Saccharomyces cerevisiae S288C: one gene and its partners. The gene in region 1 interacts genetically with each later gene. Each region holds a gene or a part of one and is shown on either strand. Other genes may lie near its edges.

The links.
Region 2: mutations in HPA2 (region 1) and PFS1 together harm fitness more than expected from each alone (negative genetic interaction), as found in Saccharomyces cerevisiae (2 studies listed by BioGRID).
Region 3: mutations in HPA2 (region 1) and HXT10 together harm fitness more than expected from each alone (negative genetic interaction), as found in Saccharomyces cerevisiae (2 studies listed by BioGRID).

Annotation. Positions count from the first base shown.
Region 1 is NC_001148.4:921,832-925,517, forward strand, and holds HPA2 (histone acetyltransferase), read right to left. Parts: upstream 1,549-3,686; coding exon 1,078-1,548; downstream 1-1,077. Other genes in the region: AQY1 (Aqy1p), read left to right, coding at 29-946; OPT2 (Opt2p), read right to left, coding at 2,473-3,686. UniProt on the Saccharomyces cerevisiae protein: N-acetyltransferase that acetylates histone H3 at 'Lys-14' and histone H4 at 'Lys-5' and 'Lys-12'. Also acetylates polyamines like putrescine, spermidine and spermine, and certain other small basic proteins like nuclear HMG proteins.
Region 2 is NC_001140.6:474,127-477,395, reverse strand, and holds PFS1 (Pfs1p), read left to right. Parts: upstream 1-2,055; coding exon 2,056-2,769; downstream 2,770-3,269. Other genes in the region: ubiquitin-binding TORC1 subunit KOG1, read left to right, coding at 1-1,397; SSP1 (Ssp1p), read right to left, coding at 2,937-3,269. UniProt on the Saccharomyces cerevisiae protein: Involved in the pathway that organizes the shaping and sizing of the prospore membrane (PSM) during sporulation. Required to localize MPC54 to all four spindle pole bodies, and localize DON1 and SPO14 to four prospore membranes.
Region 3 is NC_001138.5:110,054-114,485, forward strand, and holds HXT10 (hexose transporter HXT10), read left to right. Parts: upstream 1-2,291; coding exon 2,292-3,932; downstream 3,933-4,432. Other genes in the region: YFL012W (uncharacterized protein), read left to right, coding at 594-1,040. UniProt on the Saccharomyces cerevisiae protein: Probable glucose transporter.

The DNA of each region.
Region 1 (3,686 bases):
CATAAAGTAACATGTAATTAACTATAACATGTCTTCGAACGATTCGAACGATACCGACAAGCAACATACACGTCTGGATCCTACCGGTGTGGACGACGCCTACATCCCTCCGGAGCAGCCGGAAACAAAGCACCATCGCTTTAAAATCTCTAGGGACACCCTGAGAGACCACTTTATCGCTGCGGTCGGTGAGTTCTGCGGCACATTCATGTTTTTATGGTGCGCTTACGTTATCTGCAATGTCGCTAACCATGATGTCGCACTCGTTGCAGCGCCTGACGGTTCCCATCCGGGTCAATTGATTATGATTGCCATCGGTTTCGGATTTTCCGTCATGTTTTCTATCTGGTGTTTTGCCGGTGTCTCTGGTGGGGCTTTGAATCCTGCTATGTCGCTTTCGCTGTGCTTGGCGAGAGCCGTCTCTCCTACAAGATGTGTCGTTATGTGGGTTTCGCAGATTGTTGCTGGAATGGCCGCTGGAGGCGCTGCAAGCGCCATGACACCTGGTGAAGTCCTCTTTGCCAATTCTTTGGGCCTGGGCTGCTCTAGGACGAGGGGTCTGTTCCTGGAGATGTTCGGCACCGCTATCCTATGTTTAACAGTCTTAATGACGGCTGTGGAGAAGCGTGAAACCAACTTTATGGCTGCGCTGCCCATCGGCATCTCCCTGTTTATCGCACACGTCGCTTTGACTGCATACACAGGCACAGGTGTCAACCCTGCGAGGTCCTTGGGTGCTGCTGTCGCAGCCAGATACTTCCCTCATTACCACTGGATTTATTGGATTGGCACGCTGTTAGGATCCATTTTAGCATGGTCTGTATGGCAATTATTGCAAATCTTAGACTACACAACCTACGTTACCGCTGAAAAGGCTGCCAGCACCAAGGAAAAAGCTCAAAAAAAAGGTGAAACCAGCAGTTCCTCTGCTGTGGCTGAAGTCTAATTTTTCCCTCCTTTTCTTTATTTCTCGCTCACTAGCACTTAATGTTATAATACTCGGCAAAAACTAGTAAGATTAATTGTTTTTAATTTTTTTTTTTCTATACATCCATACTACTGAGGTAATTAGTGTTTTTAATATCCCTTCCTCTTGTATAATATTTTTGGGGCTTTATAGCCGACCTTGACGTATAGCAGCTGAGCTCTATGGTTTGACTCATCCGTACACCAATACACGCTTGGTGTGCCCAGTTTATCAGCTTCGTCGTAGACAAATTGGATTAGTTTGCCGCCCGCGCCTTTGACCCTAGAATTCTCATCAACATAGAGATCGTTGATGTATATCTTGTCCTTGAAATCCCAAGTAGTCATATGGTTGAAAAAGTTTATCATTCCAATAATTTTTTCGCTCGAACTTTCCACAGCTACGGCTGCCCACATTTTAATGTTAGGATCTAGGAATCTGCCGAAATTGAAATCGTCCAAGTCATCGGGAAAAGAGACTTCATAAAAATCTTGATAGGATTTCCAAAGCCTTTGCCAACCCTCCTTATCGTTTTCGGTTACAAACCTTACGGTAATGTTATCTTCGCTAGTGTTGGACATGCTACACAGAAAGGGCTGTTTGCTTTCTTGGCATATAAAATACTAAGAGCAATACTTAGCCCTTTTTGCTCTATTTATAGCGTTCCCTCTCTTAATGATTGCCGCTCCCCTAATATAATTGGTAGTTCTTGCCACCCGTTAGTTCCGTCCATAAAAATGTTCAACCAATAAAAGCAAATCAAGAAGTGACTGAGAAGTACAATGAACTATGACGTTAAAAGGCTAACCCAATGCAGAAATTAAATAGAAATAAATACATTGTGTAGTCGGCCTGTAACTTGTATTTCGCAAACGTCTTATAAAGGCAAGAAAATTTCAAATGTTCGAAATCTGACATCAGCCGCATGCTATGTTGTCAATCTCTCTCAATACTCGGCTGGCTTAACCCTGAATCATCCCAAAAAACGGTGATACTGTATTTGAATATGCTTCAACCGGAGTAATTATCCAGTAGTGCAACGCATCTCATTCCAACTTGAAATATACGTTTACAAAACTATTTACCACTTGTATTTCTGCAATAATACCAAAATTCATGCAAAATAAACACCATCATTACTTGTAGTTGGAAGCAAAAAATATTCTTGATTGATTTTCAATTGCCAGGCTCCTTATCACTTCGTCGATGAGCCAAAAAAAAATGTAGTTCCTATTCTGGTATCAAAGCATTTTTCTTTATTGATAACATCCGCATACACAGAGAAAAGGCGAGAAGCATGAAAAGTGTCAAAAATATTGAACTAGAGTGTACTGTTATAGTTTTGGCAGGTATGAAGACAAAATGATGGCTTTTTACATATCAAAGTAACTCTGTACTATAGATAGAAGAATAAAAACTAAATACATGCAGGTGACTGATAGAAAAGACAAGTGCAGGGGAGAAAAAAAAATAAAGAAATGATAGCGTTCTAAGAAAAGTTCTAGTCATGGATAGTGTCCTGGAGCATAGCCGAAATAGCCATTTGCTGTATCAGTTATGTTCTTTAGAGGATAGCCAACGCCATCGGCACCAGCATACGGAACTGTATTGCCCCACCAATTAAAAGCTGTGTCTTTATATTGGACAGCAAAGAAAATGATAATAGCTGATAAAACCAAGCCCGTTGAAAAGCCTGCCGATAAAACATAATTATATTTCTCCCACAGATTTAAATGGTGTCTTTTCATGTAGTACTGGGAAATGTAACTAACAATCATACCAGAAGTGTAATACATCAGGTTATATGGAGGGCTCATATTAAGCATTCCACCTACAAATAACATTGGGTCAAAATATCTGGGATAAAACTTACCCCAGCGCTTCCAAACACCAAAAAATATGCCAATGCATGCGCCTATCAACCAACACCATTTAAATATTGGATAAATGTAATTGAAAATTCTTTTTGGCCCAATTGCACCCCAGACAACGGAAGCATTATAGTAGGTCACAGCATCAGGACAGGTGAATTTTGCGTTTTGATGAGGTGTGCAAAAGTCTTTGATATTGGAGATTTGCCAATTCAGAACACCTAGATTGACAAATATCTGAATGAAAACTATAACACATTGTCCCCTGAATAGCGCCATTGGCGGAATCTTACAATAATGCGCTATTTTTAAGTTAGAAACGTAATTATCTGCTTGGCCGTCGATGTTATAACCAAAAGCCTTCAAAATCATTATGGCGATTGGATTACCTGGTAAAGCGTACCCCATCACCATTTCAATTAGTAGATTCAAACCAAACGAATAACCAGTGGTTGCTTGAAGGATAGTAGTTGGAATCAAGAAAACAAAATTAAATCCTAAACAAACAAAAAGACCCCAAACTGGTGTATTTGTTGGGTAGTGCTCTACAACAGCTATTCCAACAACAAGTGAACCTATCAATATGGCAAAATACCACCAATCTGGAACTTCTTTATAGTTTTTCATGGCATTAGAATGTGGGTCATCATAATCGTCGAGCGCCCTGTAATCGCTTTTGAACATTGTGACCCAAGATTTAAGTTTTCTCATGGCCCACAAATTCAAAGCCCAATCTTTGAAAGCATTGAACAATAACTTTGAGTGTACAATAAACGACCATGTAATCATCAGAGGATATGCGCAAATGAAAGCACCATATGATACCAAATTTCCAGCACTATAGTATG
Region 2 (3,269 bases), on another chromosome or scaffold:
AATCATCAAATACTTCGATGAAATCGCATACCTCAAAAAAGGGTCCCTCGGGCTTATATTTATTGAATGGCAATAATAATATTTATCCTACAGCTGAGACTCCAAGATTCCGGAAGCATACAGAACCCTTACAATTGCCATTAAATAGTTCCTTTTTAGACTATTCACGTGAATATTTTCAAGAACCACAAATGAAAAAGCAAGAGGCGGATGAACCTGGCAGTGTTGAGTATAATGCTAGATTGTGGAGACGTAACAGAAATGAAACTATTATCCAGGAAACACAGGGGGAGAAAAAATTATCGATTTATGGGAATTGGTCCAAAAAATTGATTAGTTTAAATAACAAAAGTCAACCAAAACTGATGAAGTTTGCCCAGTTTGAAGATCAGCTGATTACTGCAGATGATAGAAGTACCATTACAGTTTTTGATTGGGAGAAAGGAAAGACTTTGTCCAAATTCTCCAATGGTACTCCTTTTGGCACAAAAGTTACTGACCTGAAACTCATTAACGAGGATGACTCCGCCCTTTTATTGACAGGTTCTTCAGACGGTGTTATCAAAATATACAGAGACTACCAAGATGTCGACACCTTTAAAATTGTATCCGCCTGGAGAGGCTTGACCGATATGTTATTGACACCTAGATCCACAGGTTTACTAACCGAATGGTTACAAATAAGAGGATCATTGTTAACAACTGGTGATGTTAAGGTTATCCGTGTCTGGGATGCGCATACAGAAACGGTTGAAGTGGACATTCCTGCAAAAACATCATCTTTAATTACATCCTTGACGGCTGATCAGCTAGCAGGTAATATCTTCGTAGCAGGGTTTGCAGATGGCTCCCTGAGAGTATATGATCGCCGTCTCGATCCAAGAGATTCCATGATACGTCGCTGGAGAGCTGGAAATGATAAGCAGGGAGTTTGGATTAACAATGTTCATTTACAAAGAGGTGGTTACAGAGAATTGGTCAGTGGAGCTACCAATGGTGTTGTAGAGTTATGGGATATAAGGTCCGAAGATCCGGTAGAATCGTTTGTTGATCAAAACGTAACTTCTCAGTACGGTTCGCAACAAAAACCAACGACAATGACGTGCATGCAGGTTCATGAGCATGCTCCGATAATTGCGACAGGGACTAAACAAATAAAGATATGGACGACATCTGGAGATCTTTTGAATTCTTTTAAAAACTCACATAATAATGGCGTAACAAGTACATTAGCCGCTACGGGAATCCCAAAGTCACTGTCCTACTCTTCCACTTCTGATGCATTTTTATCTTCGATGGCTTTCCATCCTCATAGAATGATGATTGCGGCCACCAATTCTCACGATTCTATTGTAAATATCTACAAGTGTGAAGACGAGAGAATTGATTATTTTTGATATGTGCCATTTCTTTTTTTTTCTTTCATTTAGCTGCAAAAGAGATATATATATATATATATATATAATCTATTATATAATAAAAGTCGAGTAAAAAATTGGTCTGATTGTGAATTTAACAGCTGGTCGCAAGTTCTGGAATTTGTTGTTAATTATTGTTTCATGTTCGTATAATAATACGATGTTTAGTAAAGCAGAAAGTTCAGAATATTAAAAGTCTGTTCCAATAGTGTAGCGGCTATCACGTTGCCTTCACACGGCAAAGGTCCCGAGTTCGATCCTCGGTTGGAACATTTTAACATCGATTTTTTTGTTTGTCATAGCCAGACCAATTACGACGTTTAGAGGCATGCACTTTGTTAAATATTTTTTCTCTCTCCTTCGACATATTTTTTTTCCTGTTTACGTAACATTCATCCCCAGTCTTTGTATCATTTTTTTTTTTTTTTGGTGATGCGACAGCAATTCTGGCCGACACAGTCGTTTTCAAAGAAAAACTACCACAAACTATGGAACATAATTGAAAACAAAAACATTTACTTATAACCTACATAATGATTGAAGATACTTCATTGATCTTTACCACCTTCCTCGTTGAAATCTTTTCTACCATAGTCAGTATTTTTGGGAATTTTATAAAAACGCAAATTTTATCGAAATGAATCAAGGTTACACACAGCTTTCCGCACCGGAACTGAAGGAGACTAAAACATCGAAGCTAAATAAAATGAACAACTTTCGAAGCTCTCCGATTGCTGAGATAATTAATAAGATACCACCAGATTGCGGGAAGATACAGAATACAACATTTCCTGAGTTCAATCCAGCGTTAAGAAGACGACAACACGAACAGTGGCCTGCATACGAAAAACCAATAAGAGTTACTGACAGTATGTCACCACAGCTTTCTTCAATCAATTGTTTGCCAAATTTGTATCCCCACGGTACGCTACCATTACCAAACCCTTATTTATCCTATTTAAATCACATTGAAAAAGTTAATTGCCAAGATGTCAAGTTTAGTAACTGGAGTGTTTTACATAATTCGAATAATGGATTTGAAATTCCGACATATTTCAGTCCACGGACAACACAAAACATGCCTTGTTCCGAAAAAGTTGAAAGCTGGCTTGAAAGATTACCAATTTTTGTGGGGTTCGACGGTTATTTATTTACAAACTGCTTTGATTATGAATATATGTTGGATTGGGAAGAGACAGAATTTACATTCGAGAAAACATCATGTATGGAGACGGATTATTCTAAAGCTTTAACCGATACTGATATTATATATATTCAAGAGAAAAAAATTGAAGCGTTGATAAGAAACCAATATCTGAAGGAGTATGAATTTTCTCAAAAAGATTTTTGAATTTTGAAGAAAGCCATTAATATTTAAATGTAATTTTGTGTAGAATTATAATAAATTGATGTTTATGTATAGATCTCTCGAAATATATTTAAGAATATATAAATAATAAATGTACAACAATAAGCATAGAACATGGAATGAGTGTTCAAACTATATTCGTTTGTTTTTTAGATAGGAGTTCTCCAGACGTTTTCATCCAAGTTTTGTTTTGCATCATTTAAAGCTGCAGCAAGAACTTTGCTTTCTTCACTTGCAGACTCCGGTTTGACTTGAGTTTTTTTAATGGAAAGATTCCTCAAACTAGCGGCATTGACATTTACATTTCTTTTCGTGCTTCTTAAAATCAAGGAATCATTTGATTCGAGATTCTCCTTCTTTATTTCAGGTTGCGATATCGATGGAACTTCTGCAGTTGAAGAGCTGATATTTTTTGCCTCTTTCTCTTCTTTTTCCTGAGCGAGAAGTTCAACTAATTGATCGGGCTCAAGTTCTTTCGCAGA
Region 3 (4,432 bases), on another chromosome or scaffold:
GGGTAACCTGTTTTTCGTTGTACACGATATGCTACAGAATTGTCTTAATATGGGCTAAGAAAAAAAAAAGTCTGATTATTTCTGATACTGCAAAATATATACTGGCTTGGTTAAGAAAAGTGTTGCTTTAGTTCCTTTACATCAAGAGTCGTTAAATTGTTTTGTGTCATAACAGTAGTGGTCTTTTGAGACATCAATCGACTCTCAGGTTTTCCTTCTGTTCATCTTCTTGTTTTCGGTAAAGGTCAGCCAGCATATTTCAATTCTCTCTTTTTTGAAATAACATTATGTAATCTTTCAATCCTTTCTATCCAACGTCTGCTAAATAATTTATTCAAATGACATGTAGACCAGAAAATCGAACGTTGGATAATTTTTCATCCTGAATCATGTTGGTCTCAACTAGAGCAATTTTTTCACGTCCTCTGACACAAAACTCGATAAACTGTCGCATCAGTTTAAAAAAATATGTACGTGTATAATAACTGAATTTAAAAGGATAGTAAATAATTTTTGCATTTTATGGAATGTCAAAATACTAATAAGTCGCAAATATAGCTATCAAATACCATAATTTAGCTACTTATAGAAAGATGCCCAAATCCCGACCAAAAAGGACCATTGCGTCTTCCTCGTCAGTTTTTTATGGAAGTTCACCTTTCCAAAATGATGGCTACATCAAAGTAATGGAACTCGTATCACACATTGTCATTGAAATAAATCATTCACCTACCGCAACAACGGATGAAACGAGAAAGCAGAATAATCCGGAGCTGAAAGTGAAAGAACCAGTTTGTAACCTCAAGAAGTGGGAAAATAACACTAACTTTATATTGGAAGATCATACGAAGAATAAAACAAAACTTTCTAGCACAGATAGGATACGTAAGTGGTTTAGAAGACATATATTAAAGGAAGAGATCGAAATCCTTTCCCATGGAAAACAATTGAGTAGTATTGATGAGGATTATTGCCCTTCAAATGTTCTTGTAGGATGTTCAAGAGATCTAAATAAACTCAGATCATTTCAAAATTTTTAGGAATATAAAATTTCTCAGTAAGAAAAAGAAGATGAATGCGTTTATAGTATTTTAAGTTGTTCAATAGAATATCTTCAATATGTTCATATGTGGACTAAAAGAAGATTTTGGTATATGTCTATAAATTTATTGTTGGTAAACGCCATTAAGCAGCTTTCCAAGAATATGTTATCATTGAGGAGAAGTACGAAAACTGATTATGCACGATTAGGAAAAATTCTGCAAGGAGTATTAAAAAATGGCCTTCGAGAAGAAATGAAATCTCTTTCGATGAGCAATGGTCTTATGGATAATTTGATAGACATATGAAAAAGTCAAAAGTTTTTTTGGCCATATGCAGTAAAAACTTACCCTTCAAATTGCAAAACCATTAGTTTTATTATATTTTTTTTTTTTTCTTTCATTGAAGTATACACGAAATCCCATACGCAAATAAACAGTCGTTGTATCATCAATTTCGGCTGTCTGGATGGCGACTACGAGAGGAAGCTTGCTTGCCATGATAGGACCAATCTCAATTTTTAATTTTTCATTAACTAGCTAATTTTCTATAATGCTCTAAGTTTCCTTTTTCGTTTTGTTTCTTTATAGTGATGATGCTGTTATTGTGACGCTATCAAATCATATACTGTCATCAATCCTCATCTCATCGGCTCCGGAACGCGTTGAATATGTTGTTAAACAAGCTCTTTATAGCTAGCTATAGTAGAAAAGGAAGGAAAGAAGTCTAATCGCTGTATTATCGACTGACAAGGGTTGTCAGTTGCCTTCTTTTATTTTTTGTACTCCCCTGAATCGAGCGGATGTATTTTTTAACAAAGTATTCAGAATTGTTTTTGTATAATCAAAATTTGTCGACGCTAAGAAAATGACGGACGTCGTAATTCCGCTACTAGGTTTTGTGTGCTCATCGATATTTGACACCTATTTTCGACACTTTTAAGGTTATATACTTTGTTTCGGATGTGGGGTACACTCAGTTGACTGATTATGAAAGATATGGCGTAGCCGTTGGGTTAGGGTTATTACACAGAAATGAATTATACCAGTGAAATTATTCTCTTTATGTTTGTTCCTACATGTTTTCCAATCAGAAGGAATTGTTATATAAGGACACAAGAAATGTGTTGGTACGCTCTGCGCCTCAATGACGGTTTATCTATCTAAAACTATTTCTTTCTCGTAATAAAAATACAATAAATAATTAATAATAATATAGTTGATCGATATAACAAAAAAATAACAGCGAGGATGGTTAGTTCAAGTGTTTCCATTTTGGGGACTAGCGCCAAGGCATCCACTTCTCTAAGTAGAAAGGATGAAATTAAACTAACCCCTGAAACAAGGGAAGCTAGCTTGGACATTCCATACAAACCCATTATTGCATACTGGACGGTGATGGGTCTCTGTCTGATGATTGCCTTTGGTGGATTCATTTTTGGTTGGGATACAGGAACCATTTCAGGGTTTATTAACCAAACAGATTTCAAGAGAAGGTTTGGTGAGTTACAAAGGGACGGCAGTTTTCAACTATCAGATGTCAGGACAGGGCTAATTGTCGGTATCTTCAACATAGGTTGTGCTTTAGGTGGCCTAACGCTGGGACGCCTGGGCGATATTTATGGGCGTAAAATCGGCTTAATGTGTGTTATACTGGTGTATGTTGTTGGTATCGTGATCCAGATTGCTTCCTCTGACAAATGGTATCAATATTTTATTGGTAGAATTGTTTCTGGAATGGGTGTTGGAGGTGTTGCTGTGCTGTCGCCAACTTTGATCTCAGAAATTTCCCCAAAGCACCTAAGAGGCACTTGTGTCTCTTTTTACCAGCTAATGATTACCCTTGGAATTTTCTTGGGCTACTGTACCAATTATGGTACAAAGAAATATTCAAATTCAATACAGTGGCGGGTTCCCTTGGGTTTGTGTTTTGCGTGGGCAATCTTTATGGTGATTGGAATGGTTATGGTTCCGGAATCGCCCAGATATTTAGTAGAAAAAGGTAAGTATGAAGAAGCTAGAAGGTCTTTGGCCAAATCAAACAAGGTCACAGTTACTGATCCAGGCGTTGTTTTTGAGTTTGATACTATAGTTGCAAATATGGAATTAGAAAGGGCTGTTGGAAATGCCAGTTGGCACGAACTCTTCTCAAATAAAGGAGCAATTCTACCAAGGGTAATAATGGGAATCGTTATCCAGTCACTGCAACAGCTTACTGGCTGTAATTATTTTTTCTACTACGGCACGACCATTTTCAATGCTGTTGGAATGCAAGACTCTTTCGAGACTTCCATTGTCCTTGGGGCTGTTAATTTTGCTTCTACATTTGTTGCACTATACATTGTGGATAAATTTGGGCGTCGAAAATGTTTATTGTGGGGGTCTGCCTCGATGGCAATTTGTTTCGTCATATTCGCCACCGTTGGCGTCACTAGATTATGGCCACAAGGGAAAGACCAACCTTCTTCGCAAAGTGCTGGTAATGTTATGATCGTTTTTACTTGTTTCTTCATTTTCTCTTTTGCCATTACTTGGGCTCCTATCGCCTATGTCATTGTGGCAGAAACTTATCCATTAAGAGTTAAAAATCGTGCCATGGCCATTGCGGTTGGTGCGAACTGGATGTGGGGTTTCTTGATTGGATTTTTCACACCCTTTATCACTAGATCCATAGGATTTTCTTATGGCTATGTTTTCATGGGTTGCTTAATCTTTTCGTACTTCTACGTTTTCTTCTTTGTTTGCGAAACAAAGGGATTAACTCTGGAGGAAGTTAATGAAATGTACGAAGAAAGAATAAAGCCATGGAAGTCCGGAGGTTGGATTCCCAGTTCTAGAAGAACACCACAACCAACAAGCAGTACACCATTAGTTATTGTTGATAGTAAATAATTTCTAAATATTCTTGTACTCTGGTAAACAGAAATAACAACAGATAATGGATTGATGCTTTACTTCTATTTCATGGAGATTGGTTTTATATAATAGCCTTTATTAATGGCGTCACAAATTGAAAAAAAAATTAAAAAAAATAAGACGGACACATTTGCGACGCCGGTGAATAAATGCATATAAGTAGTTTATAAGCTAGCTACTACTCAGAAATAATTTCAAAAAAAAAAAGAAGTGGGCACTTTAAAATGAAGATTAGCTATAGTAAATTACTGTAGTATAACAACTACCTGCTATCTTTCTGAAAAAATCAGGCAATGTAAGGTCAAACTTGTACCATCGACATATATAATGTTTTGAGATATAAGTAACTAGAGACCAGTTTATACAGGATCTTACCTCTTTTTACCGTTATGAAAGCTTTATTACTGCGTTGTTAGTAAACACACATATTATTTTCGGGTAGTCCTGTCGATGTTCCAAGGCTTTGCATTTATCAT